Drosophila melanogaster: one gene and its partner. The protein of the gene in region 2 purifies or fractionates together with the protein of the main gene of each other region. This does not show direct contact. Each region holds a gene or a part of one and is shown on either strand. Other genes may lie near its edges. The genes, in order: capu and mon2.

The links.
Region 1: the proteins of mon2 (region 2) and capu purify together in Drosophila melanogaster (affinity purification with western blotting, with the first as the bait; one study listed by BioGRID). This does not show direct contact.

The regions. Positions count from the first base shown.
Region 1 is NT_033779.5:3,899,857-3,905,015, forward strand, and holds the start of capu (cappuccino), read right to left. Parts: upstream 3,005-5,159; 5' UTR 2,739-3,004; intron 1-2,738. UniProt on the Drosophila melanogaster protein: Acts as an actin nucleation factor and promotes assembly of actin filaments together with spir. May play a role in intracellular vesicle transport along actin fibers, providing a novel link between actin cytoskeleton dynamics and intracellular transport.
Region 2 is NT_033779.5:8,117,850-8,125,648, forward strand, and holds the start of mon2 (monensin sensitivity 2), read right to left. Parts: upstream 6,162-7,799; 5' UTR 5,966-6,161; coding exon 5,843-5,965; intron 5,587-5,842; coding exon 5,455-5,586; intron 5,397-5,454; coding exon 4,860-5,396; intron 4,684-4,859; coding exon 4,112-4,683; intron 4,055-4,111; coding exon 3,624-4,054; intron 3,561-3,623; coding exon 2,845-3,560; intron 2,735-2,844; coding exon 2,396-2,734; intron 2,309-2,395; coding exon 1,655-2,308; intron 1,559-1,654; coding exon 1,371-1,558; intron 1,218-1,370; coding exon 1,055-1,217; intron 1,001-1,054; coding exon 78-1,000; intron 13-77; coding exon 1-12. Other genes in the region: CG8673 (uncharacterized protein), read left to right, coding at 6,543-6,888, 6,956-7,799. UniProt on the Drosophila melanogaster protein: May be required for traffic between late Golgi and early endosomes.

The DNA of each region.
Region 1 (5,159 bases), 4.2 Mb from region 2:
AACATTCGCATCGGACACCGTTTGCAGAGCTGCAACTTTAATTGCTTTGGTGGTTTGTGCCAAATTAGATTCTGCGGTTTTGTCGCGTCGCCATTCCGGTAATCGAGGGTGTACTGTACAACGGGGGTCAGAGTGTGATGGGCAAAGTGGGGTATGCGGGATGGTGTCTTGGCCATGGCCTTTTCCCCAAACTCCGTCGAGCTGAAGCCAAAAGCTGACGCTGACGCCCATCAATTAAACTTGTCAATGAGAATGCGATGCAACAGCAGGAACAGCAGAAATAGCGACAAGAACCCGGGGAATAAGAACTAATGGTGACGGTATGGGGGACTTGGAGCTTAGAACAAGGGTTATTGAAGGGAGCTCGAAACCAAACTAAATCGACTGAAAGTTAACTACATTTCACCCGCTTCGCTGGCATTCAAATTAGGTTTCTGTTCGAGACGTGTATATTGGTAATTTGATTGGAGTTTTAGAAATTGAATTCTAGCATGTTTCAAGAAATAATTATCGGCGATGCCACGGAAATCCACGGAACTCTGTATATGAGTTGTGCCAAGAAGAAATGTTTAAATTGTTTTTGTTTATAAAAACTTCTTCTTAAAGGTCACTTGAATATTTAAATTTGCCACAGGCACCTGAAAATACTTCCAAATGCAATCAGCATGGTCCCAGGTATAAGTGGCTTTACATACGCAAGTCGTGCAAATATTATTCCACTTTCCGTTGAATTTGGAATATTTGCAAAAGAATCTAAGGAAAAATGCCTGGCGTCTTTCGAAATTTCCATTTCTCGAAAGCCGCCGGCCATTGACATGACTCTGCGGACTTATCCTGTTGTTCGGTCCTGTCGTTATGGACTCTGTCCTATCTACTATCTTAACAATTGTGCGCACCAAGAAATTGATTTATTTTTGTTTACGCCAAAACAGCAAAAAGTTTACCACATTTTCTGCTCCTTCTCTCCAACTTGCCGTTGGCCAAGTTTTAGTTGGCTTATTGCGTTTGCACTGAAAATCAGAAGTATGTTTCTCAGGATTATTCAATATTTTTCTAACAACTACTTGGCATTTAATTTCTGATATTCCCACGAGCTAAGTAGAATTTTTATTTAATACCTTTAAAGAAGTATATTTAATAGTACAAATTAGACCTAATTATCTTCTCTCTGTGCAGTGCTTTGTTATCCGCTGCTTGGGAACAGTCGGTCTAATCCTAATGCTCCCTAATTACATTGGCCAGCAAGTCAACACAGTCTAGGCCAAGTTTCCCCGCTGCCTATTTGAGTTGGTCATGTCGCTATCTGCTTTCCAGCCCTCTTATCATTTTTTAGACCCATCTTAAAGACACTCCTAATTATTGGCCCTCTGGCGCACAATGCGGCCAGTGAACTGGCTGTTCTGGATTTCTTTTTTTTTTGCCGTTGAGCCCTGTTTATGTGGTTCGACGACACCTGGCGACATCAATTAGGGGGCAGGAATGAGCTCTTCGAAATGGAAAATCGTGGGAAAGTGGCGCCTCATACTGGCCGACAAATGTCAAGATGGCTGCAAATCTCTTTTGCTCTGAAAATCTGAGGTGTTGATAAAGGTGCGATTGAAAAGTTTGATCAATGATACTATTTAAGATTGAAAAGGGTTTCTCGTTATATATTTAGGAAGCAATTTTTCACACTTATTTTTATTTAGTTTTTAATCTCTTACAGTGCCTGCATAATTTGTATGCTTTTTATGCGCAAACATACAGCGCCGCAGCTTAACAAGCATTTTTTTATTTATTTCCCTCATATAAAGAATAATTTTTTTTCCTTCTTCCGCACTGTGGAAATTTATGAAGGGCCCTCGAAATGGCCTACGACCTCTATTCTGCCCCCAAACACATTCCCCAACCCCCGTCAGGTTGCAGCTGGGGGGTGAAAAAAAAAAACGTGGAAAACATCAGACGAGCAAAATGGCGAGCAATAAAAATAATTGCAAAATTCGAGATTCAGGTGGGGGCATGCGGCACGCTTAAAGTGGCACCTCTCTTAGCCACGCCCCCAAGTTTCCAAACCTCTCGCCCCTATTCCACACTTGGCAAACAATGGTGAACAGTGAAACAAAATGTTCATTGCAGTGTAAAATCTGCGAATCGCGGTTTTCTTTTTTTTCACTTTTCCCTCGGTTTGTGTGTGTTTTCGCGTTTTACAATCTGTTTCGCAACTCACGTAAAATATAAGGTAATTTGTGGAAATTTGATGTTTATCGTAAATTGTTTTTTATTTGCACAATGTCACCATTTTGCGGTTTGCCAGCAGCGCAAACTCACACACACACGCAGACTGACAAGCAACACACACACAGGCACGCATTGGTGGTCAGAGTTGCCAAGCAGTCAAAAAATAAAATTCCACAAAAATTGAGTTTTAAAGTTGCGAAATAATTGAATACACTTTTTAAAATCAAAACAAAAATCTGTTAAGTGCAATGATTGTTAAAAATACTAGTGTTGTGCCTAAGTTGTAGTAATTAAAAATAATATATATGAAGATTATTAATTATATATTATACATATATACTGGTCTTTAAATCTGATAAATCATTAATGGTCATTGTTGTTTAATGCTCAGATAGGCAAAATATATTCAGTTTCTGTAAGAATATCTGACAGTCGATCTACATTTTTCCACCTTAATTGTGCGCACCGCAAAAAGAGCATAGATAGATGGTAAAAACAATTGCAAACATTTTTCAATTTACCTGCATGGCGGAGAGGACTTTCCTCCTTTTGTTGTTTACTCCATTTTTTATTGCGTTTTTCTGTGGGCCCAATATTTTGGGCTTAATTGTGGCACGAATACCCCATTGCAGAAGGGCTAACAATGTGATGGCTATGACCATCATAGCCGGATAGAGCTCTTCCATTGGATACACAATCATCTTACCAAAACGATATACAACAAAAAAAAGGAAACGAAAAATTACACAAATTTTGACAGAATTTTGTATGCCTAACCCAATTGAACGGTGTAGACGAACTGCTTGTTTTAAATTTCATTTTATTTACTTTATAATTATCGTATATTCTGATTTACATTGTATAATATATCGTATATCATTACTGTCTAGGTTTACAATTAAAATTAGTTTAAACTTTTGGTTTCGCACTAAAAAGGTCAGTAAAATGTTTCAATCGCCTGGCGTGAACATTTCTGTTCTCTCGGTTCTTTTTTTTTTTAAAAGCAGATTTAATAGTTTACATTTAGTTTGAGTAAAAATTATAGAACGAAAATGGACAGTTTAATATAGTCGCAGACTTAGACTAAAGTTATTGGCTATTTTGATCATATTTGGTTTTGGATTACCAGTACATCTTTGTTTATATCTAGGTGGATACTTGAAAAATGCGTGGGTGGTCTGAGTTTGTTCGGGGACTAAATAAAACTCCTTAACTATTTTTAAAACTATTTTTTTATTATACATAGTTAAAAGTAAGATCATTAATTAAATAAGAAATACCATTTATAGATGTATCTTACTCAACGCCACAGTAACCCATTCATAAAAATGCAGATATTATTCACTATTCTAATAAATATTTTCGATTATGTTTTAAACACATTTATTTCAAATTAAATTTCTAAACTCTTTGGTTTACTCTGTTTATCTATTTACAATGTCCTTAAATCTTTAATATCCATTAAATAGTTTTTATCGCTAAGAGAAATTTATGTAACCTTCATTCAAAAACGAAATTATTTTATTTTACTAAATTCCTTGCTTCCGCTTGCAATTATTCAAATAAAATACTGATACATTTTTCATTTTTAATGCTCACATATTACGTTTTTATTTTGTTTGTTAAAAGTATCAATTATGTGGATTTATTACTCAAATATTTCATAACAGAGCTAAACAAGTATTGGATTAAAGATAATTCCCCCTTCTTTTATACTTTGCTGTGCAATTAAATATTTTGTGTATTTTTACAATATCACTGAGTGCTCAAGGGTTTTACTAACAATCGAAAGCAAGCAAAGAATTCTGTACAACTGATTGTTTTTACAACCCATTTCGATTTTATAATTTTAGAGCGAAAAAAGAAAGCAAAAAGGAATTTGTATCATTTTTGTTTCATCCGCAAGTTGGGAGAAAGTTTTGCTATAGTTGGCTGATGATTTTTCGGTAATCACCTTTCACAAATGAAGGTGAAAAGTAAATAAAAGTATTTGTATTGAACTTTTCACCCAGTTGTAGTTTACAAAATCGGTTTTAAGCTTCCCGCAGTTTAAAATTTAATTCGAATTCGTTTTGATGTCTGTTGATTATTCCATTTGCCGGCTATTATGATTTTATTTTAAAGATTTTCTCTTTTTGCTAAAAGATACTGTTTCTATTTGAATTTCCATATTTTTGCGGTCTTGTATGACGCTGTGTAGATATTTTTTTTGTTAGCCTATTTTTATGTAAATGCAACTCACTTGGACTTTTGACTGGCAGTACTAAATTTTCAAGTTTTTTTTTTAGCAGTTGCAATTTAATGACTCCATGTTCTACTATTTACAGATTGCACAGTAAATAAATTGATATTGTGTGCTCTGATTTTGCCGAGCTGAATTGCACGGAGCTCTTTGTGCAATGGCAAATTAATTTGCAAATTTACACAATCTAATTTTAGGTCACCGAGGGACCCAGACGACCAATTGTTAATTTGTAATTACAATTTTTGCATTATTATTGCTTGCCGACAATGCGAACAATTGAAATTAGCAGCGCAATTAGTCGAACCGAGCAAACAAATATTCGTTCCAATTTAATGCCCCAATGGAGACAAAAGCTAATGAGGAGTCGAAAAACTTTTGCCAACCTTTCCCCTTTTTCGCATTGTGTCGAAGTTTGATTTTTATTGGTCATGTTTATTTTGCATTTTGGGCTGACTGGGCGGAAAAGCAATTAAATGAACATTTTGTCTCTTTTATTTGATTTAAACGAGAACAATTTCCATATTTAAAAAAAAAAATGCATAGAAACCTCAAAGGTGGCTTTTGTGTTTGGCTGTCGGTTTAACAATGATTTGACCAGAATATTATGGCGGTAGTTTTGCAGTTTGTCGCCATGAACCTCAATATTTTGGCCACAGTTTTGAAAAAGTATTATTATTTTTAAATAAATAGAATAAGC
Region 2 (7,799 bases):
GATAGCCGGAACCTGACAACAAAGTAATTTACATGAGTCATATGAGTATTCCAGGATTATTTTTAATCTAATCGTACCTTGGAAGCGGACACTTTCCGCTTTGTCTCTCATCGTCGTTAAACCGTTTGAGCACCTCTTGGAATCGATGCAACAGGGCGGTGACTGCTAGTCTGCCGGCAAAGTCCTTGCCACCTGCTCCCGCGGCCCCAGCAGTCAACACATTGGCGTTGAGACGATTGTTGTTGGTGTTGGCATGGTCCTCTAGCAGCGAGAACTGCAGAAGGGTCTCGAAACACGTTTTGGCAAAAATCTCACGCAGCTTCCAGTCGGATTCGTAGCAAATGTTCGTGTCTGAGGCGGAGTGTATAGATCCCTTGTTCAGCAGCACTACGATCTGCATGATAAACTGGTGTGGCATTTCGTGCGAGTGAGGCAACACCTCGTCCCTCAGCAGCTCAATAACCTGACAATCGATCGTTTCATCCAGCACGATCTCCTCGAGACCGCGATCCTCGATGGTGCACACACTCGCCGGAAACAGGAACTTGTCCAGGGTATCGGCCAAATCGTCCCACAAGCTTGCGAAATGTTGCGGCTTAGCTCGCGCCACCTTGAGACCAGTATGCAGCACGCTAATCAGACTGGAAATGGCCAGCTTCCATGTGCTGGAGGAAAGGCATTTGTACTTCATCGCCAGCGGCGTGCGCAGAGCCTTGACGATGTCATGCAGAATCTGCTCCTGCACAACCGAATCCTCGGTGGCCGTGGTCTGGTAAAGCTTCACGCAAATACTGATTGACTTCTCACCGAAAGGTATGTAGTTCATGCTGACCACCTCAACGGAGGCATTGTTGGCATAGTGTCCCGAGGACTTCGCATACTTGTGCTCCACACTCTGCTGAAATGTGGGCGGTGCGCAAGCGAATTTACTAAAGATCAGCAACTGCCGGAAAATGGCAGGGATAAGCTGGCTGATGTGGGAATCGGGTTTTGTCGCCTCCTATTCAAAGATTATTAATTATATATTATAATGGATTGTCTTGTAAATGCTTGCCTTCTGTATTAGTTCCATGCAATCGAGAATGCCATCGTGTAGCGGCGTCAGCAGGGTGTCCGACACAGTGGACATGATGTAGGGAACCGCATCGGTCTGGACGGGAATGCACACAGCGTTCGTCAGTACCGTACAGAATTTGTCAAAGTCTGCGGCAGTAAATCTGAAAACAATTCAAATATAAATTAATCGTTTTGAAAAAAATAGCTAAACGATATTAAACATAGCAAATGTATAAATTGATCAATTTAAAATATATTATATTTTTGGGGAATCTATGACAATGCGTTCTTCCTAAGTAGGTGTGTCTACTAACTTGACTTGAATGTGCTGAAAAATGGCGGGAAAGATTTGGATCAGGGCGGTGAGGAAGGCCTGACTGGGAATGTAAAAGTCCTCCTGAGTTTCGGCGCCATTGCTATTTTGCTGCTGCAACTTCGCTGACGTCGATGTGGACATTTTGGTGCTCTCCATGCCAATGCTAAGCCAAATGTTCCAAGCAATCTGCTCAAAAGTAGGAAAGACAAAAGTTCATTTAGTATAAATAAACAAAAGACAACCACTTTGGTTGACAGCTATCTTAATCTCTAAACTACTCACAGTCCAAATTTCCTCGTCCTGCTCCTGTGCCGTCTGAGGATCCTTCAATGCCCTCTCTGTTCGCTCTGCTGTGTTGTGGTACATGATCTCCTGTAGAGACTTCAGAGCAGCAAGTGAAACTTCACCATTTTTGCTCAACGCAGCATTCTGGATGAACTCTAGAATTAGTGACCAGGCTCGCTCAAAATCACCCAGCATCTGAAGCAGCTCCCGTTTTGTATTGAACACCCTGCAGACGCCCGATAGAGTCAGCACCTGCGTTTCTGCCCACTGCTTTTGGGCGGTGTTGCGCGAGTGATGGATAAGAATGTTGCCACTGGCGTCCACCTTCTCGTTGCTGGCCGAGCTGCTCAGAGCACGCACGTTGTCCAGCAGCGGGAAGAGAACCTGCCAGACCAGCGCCTGCCACGTGGGCGGATTAAGCAGGCTGCCGTGGGCGGAGATGGTGGAGAAGAGCGTCTGGCCGGCCGATTTACGCACCGCCGGACGCAGATCCACACACAGCTCGCCCAGCTTGGCGTACAAGCACATCCACAACTTATCGAACTGCGGCATCTTCACTGTGCCTGGGAAGTCGGGCAGAATGGACACATCCTGCAGCTGAGTGGACATTAGCTTGTCTTGGTTTTGATTAAAGAAGTCTGAAATATTCCACTGCAATCAAAGTACAAAATTAAAGTAACTCAATAATAATAATACTATGTATGCAACAGTTTATCTAATATGTATAACATAGCTTACCATGAGACCGATAGCCGTCAAAGAAATGTTCAATTCCTGGGTCTGGGAGCCGAACTTAGCAGCAGTGCTGATGCACAGCGGCAGACACCGCCATGGCATTACGGTCAGGAAATCTGTGATAACCAACTGCAGGCATTGGAATGCTGTGCGAATTAACGGCTCGCCATGGTGCTCGTTTACAGCACCAATGATCTCAATAATGGCTGGCCAGCCAAACGAGAGGATTTCCCCTGCAGTGTTTAGGATCTGAAGGACGCAATCCAGCTGTCGCTGACGTACATCTGCGTGCAGGACAGTAGACAACTCAGAGAGTGGACTCAGCAGCATTGTTTGTAGTTCCTAAACGTGAAAGGGGTAAATTTGCATTTTGTTGTGGTACTATTTCTTTGAAACACTTTTCAGTGACGTTCTACAATAATTGTTAAAGAAATACAGAGGGGTAATCTTACCATGTTCTCCTTGAGGGGCGTTTTGTGCTTGAACTGTAGGGCAGACTTCACCAGGTAGGTAATGGCTTCCACGCCCCACTCCCGCATTCGAATATGTCGATGTTGGCACACCTCCAGCAGGTGATTTGTAAGTGGTCGCCACAATACCTTTATGCGGGGCATGTTTACTAGGCCAGTCTCTAGCAGTTTGGCTACCGCAAAAAGCGATGGTTCCCGATTGGCATAAGCAAGTTCCATGGCCTCGTGGGAGAGCTTGCACAATGCATCGATTAAATGATGCAGCGCTACATCGTCCAGATATTGACTGGACTCGAACAGCTGGCTAAGCATTTGTGACAGGACCGGAAGATCAGCCATCACTGCCGTTTGAATTCCCACATTAGCCTCTACAGCTGGCTTTGGCATGGCCTGAAGACTGCCTCCGGTAGAAGGTTTCAGCCCCAAGATCCACACTAGATGCTGCAGCGTCTGCAGCACAATATGCCAGGAGGTACCCAAAATCCCACCATTGTTGTGCGCTAGGAAAAGAATAGCTCGCATACACTGTAGATTCTTGTTAGTCAGCATCACGGGCGCTTGCATCACGCTGTGGGGCAGCGATGCCGATGGCAGTGGTGTACCCACCGCTACGATCTGGGGTCGGAAGTCTCCTGCATCGCCACTACAGCTATTGATGAACTGGCTGCTTAGATCTTGACTACCACTGCGCGTGTGACCTGTAACGGATAGGTTTGGATAAATAAATACACAATAAATAATAAATACAATTAAGAACTTACATCTCAAGTCACCATCCGACTGTGTGGTATTGGCAAATATGGACATGGCATAGTGGGGCGGAAAGGAGGCGCGGCACATGGCCATTATAAAGGCGTCTCGGGGCTGCAGTTGCTCCAGCATTCCGCACAGAGCTGCATAATTTTGCATAGCCTTGAGGATGTTCTCCGTGGTGGCCTCGTCAATCGACGTCTCAACCAACGGAATAAAAGCGCTGAGCAGGGCAGACCAGCTGGAATTCACCAGTTGGAGGCACAGTGGCTTGTGCTCCTCCTCAGTGATCACTGCCGTATTGTGGCTGGGATGAAGCTCCGGGGTTCGCTGAATGACACCTCCAATCGATCGAGTCATATCCAGTAGAATAGCATGCCCAACCGAGATGCCATAACTGTCGGGAATATTCGATGCATCTATCTTATCCAACATTTCCAAGCTGAAAAATAAAATTATAAATAAGATTTTATACAAAAAAGCTGATATTTCAACTTACTAAACGGCCTTTGAGACGCCTGGCGCATATGTGGCTACCAAGGGAAGGTAAGCACCTCGAAACATGAAGCCACATTGATTGCTTCCCGACATGGCTGTCAGTGAATTGGCGACTCCATTCTGCTGGCCATTCAGCATGGCCGATGCATTGATCAGGGAATATCGAATGTAGCTGCCCATGGCAGCAATCATGTCATGCACAATATTGGTTGCATGATTTTTTAAGTCGTACGACTTGCAGAAGAATGCAATCAGTGAAGAGCGCGTCACCAGCTTATGGATAACCTCGAGGGCCAGGGCTCGCTGCCAAGCTGGCTTATCCGGATCCAAGAACTTGATAATCAGCGACAGAAAGATCTCACACTCTGTTACCAGTATAGTGTGGTATTTTTGTATAAGTATAGCCACGAGGCGCAGCAAACGCATGCTAATTGGGAAATAGGGTTTCTCGGCCGGCACAGGAGCGTTTCCATTGCTTGGTGCAGGCAGCTGGCGATGCTTGACGTTTGGCGAGAAGAGCTTTATGACCAAGGCACAGACTCGTTCCTTAAGTAGCAGTCGAAAGTCGTTACTCTATTGAAAAAAAAAGGATTTAATTAATATATAAATAAAACTGATCTTTTGGAACTCTGAAATTTCAGACTTGCTTTTGCTTATTTTCTGATCTAAACTCCTATAGAAACAGCACAATTGTTTAAATCGAAAGACTTGAAAGTCGATTCGTCGTCTAGGCCGATTTGTAAACATACCTCGTGAAACACGGCACTGAAGTTGGTCAGCACGGCCTCAAGTAACTCCAGACCAAAGGTGCGCGTCATTTCGGTCATGCCCAACAGCCAGTAGGGCTGATCCGCGTTTACCAACTGCACAAGATCCTGAAATAGCAGGAATGCATCCGAAGCAAAGGTCTGCACATCCTGATTTCCGCCCTCTCCCTCAGCTGGCGAACCACTGGACTGTTGCTGCTGGAGGCTGGAAACCGAGTCTTTCTCCAGGTACACTCGCTCAAACACCAGGGACACCAGCTGCCGGATGGTGGCACCGGCCGTATTCACAATTGTGGGATTTTTGGCGTAGTGCAGGCGAAAGCACAGAACTAAGGCCTTGGCCAATGTGTCGCCGTGCACCACCGTATTGGTGGTCAGCAAAAGAGTTACTGTTTGCAGCACTTTGACTTCCTCGATGTTGTTCTCCATTAGGGTCCACAGTGCGTTGGTGATGTATAGGGCGCCCTTCTGGTCCACCACCTGCTGGGTGATGAGCCGCTGCATCATGCCTAAGCAAAACTGGAAAAAAGATAGGAAAGCAATTAGATATATTTACTATATAAATGGCTGCTCTTACCTTGATGATCTTGAGGTCCTTGGTCTCGCATCCCTGCACCAGCGGATAGAGTATCTGGTTGACGGTGTAGTACACCGAGTTTTGCTGGCTGCTGCCAGCTGTGCAGAGCTTGGAAATGGCCTCCTCGCACGCCTGATTGGGAATTGGAAACGTTAGAGAGTTAATTTGCAGGTGGAAATGTCATAAAAACAATTTCATATGCGCTGGCTATCAATTTCATAATTGCGTAGAGCAAGCACAGGTGGAACCAGAGCAAACCACCCCCCGCCCACCGACGTCCTTCCACCACCACCCAACTGGGTTGTTGGGTGACACACACTCGTGTGTCGGCGGATAAGTGCCGCAATTAGACAACCACGGCCGTGAATCACACGTCAGCAGGACTCACCTCCTTGATCTGAGGATACTTCTTCTTGGTCTCCAGCGAGAGGGTCTTGAAATCCGCCTGCAGGGCCTCCACAAACTTGTGCACGTCCTGGCCACCGCACCCGCCCCCGCCCACAAACGACATGGTCACTGGTTGTACTCGCTCCTGGTCACTTGACACTCACTGCACCGGATGCGTGCGACATTTAAGTACTGCGACCGATACACGCATATGCTACGCAACCACTTTGGACTCGAGAAAATGCAATAATAATGCAGCGCACAATGAAAGCCGTGAAAAAATTGTGATTCGTTTTGACAGCTGACGTACACAGTGCAGAGTTGCTAGTGATTGGCAACGCGAGCTGGCCATGTTAACTAACATAAGCAGAACCATCATCAACAGTGGCCTGAAAAGCGCCCTTAACAGAGCAGGAGTTTCGGTGAAATTTTGTGGGTCGCCGGAAACGGAAAATAAAGATAATGGCAAGGAAGAAGTATCTTTACCAGGATGAGGCCCTAATCCCAAAAGCCATATACGTTAAATTCCATAAATACAACATCCAAAAAGGATAAGATAAGACTAAAAAATAATCTGTCAAGTATGCTTTTCATGTTTTGCCTATTTAAGCGAACTTTATAAACATGACTTTTGGGTGCTTGGTTCAAATCCACCTTGTAGAGCGGTCACATTCCCGGAAAACTAGAACTAACTTATAGCCATGGCTGGCCGACTGCTGCGCTGCATCCTGATACTAATCCTTGTCAGCTTTACTGTCTTCACGTACGTTTCCAAAGTAGGGGTAATGGAAAAAGTCGACTATTTTACGACAGCGAAACCTGATGTAATGTCAAAAAATCCTGCAATACAGTTAGTGGGCGAAGCGATACGGCTAAGATCCTTTAGGGAGCCTATTAAAGATTTCGACGATGGATTCGCCGTTCAAATTTCAGGAAACAGCAGTGAAGGCAACAAGGATATCTATACAACTATTGATGGCAATATAAATGTTGCAGATTCTATTGCGGCAATTAGAAGCAGAAGAATTGATGAGGAAAAGCTCCATGGTGAGAACTATTTAATTATTCATTAGTCGACTCATATTGATGTTGTTACTTTGCTTTTCTTCAACAGATGACGGGCTAGACTCAAAAGATATTTTAGCAAAGAAATCAGTGGTATTGTATTCAATAGATACCGAAGTTCCTGTCCGAATGCCGCTTGTGAAAACTATCTACAAACCTGGTCACCTGGACAGTGAGATTGATATGGAAAGAATATGTCCGCAAAAAGGGTTATCGACGCAGTTGTTAGTTTTAATAACCTCATCCCTTCGGCATTCGGCAGCCAGAATGTCCATACGGCAGACTTGGATGCACTACGGCAGCAGAAGGGACGTGGGCATGGCATTTGTCCTGGGAAAAGGCAAAAACAAATCGGTGAAGAAGGCCATTGATCAGGAGGATTTTATGTACCAGGATCTGATAAGAGGACACTTCATAGACTCGTACAACAATCTCACTCTGAAGACCATTTCTCTGCTGGAATGGGCTGATCTTCACTGTCCGAAGGCTAAGTACGTTCTCAAGACGGACGATGACATGTTCATCAACGTGCCGAAGTTATTGACCCTCATTAGCACGCTTAAAGCCAATAGAACGATCTACGGACGACGGGCCGAAAATTGGAAACCCATTCGAAACAGGTGGTCTAAATATCACATATCCAACGCTCAGTATGGAAAGCCTACCTTTCCCTACTTCACCACCGGACCCGCCTACTTGCTCACTGGTGACATTGTTCACGCTCTGTATGTCCAATCCCTGAATACTGCATTCTTAAAGCTGGAAGATGTCTTCACCACGGGCATTGTGGCTGAAAGTCTGAACATCCGGCGGGTAAATGTGCGCGAGATGGCTAACACCCGGACGAAATTCGAGACGTGCCACATCCGCGACAAAATTACCATCCATATGGT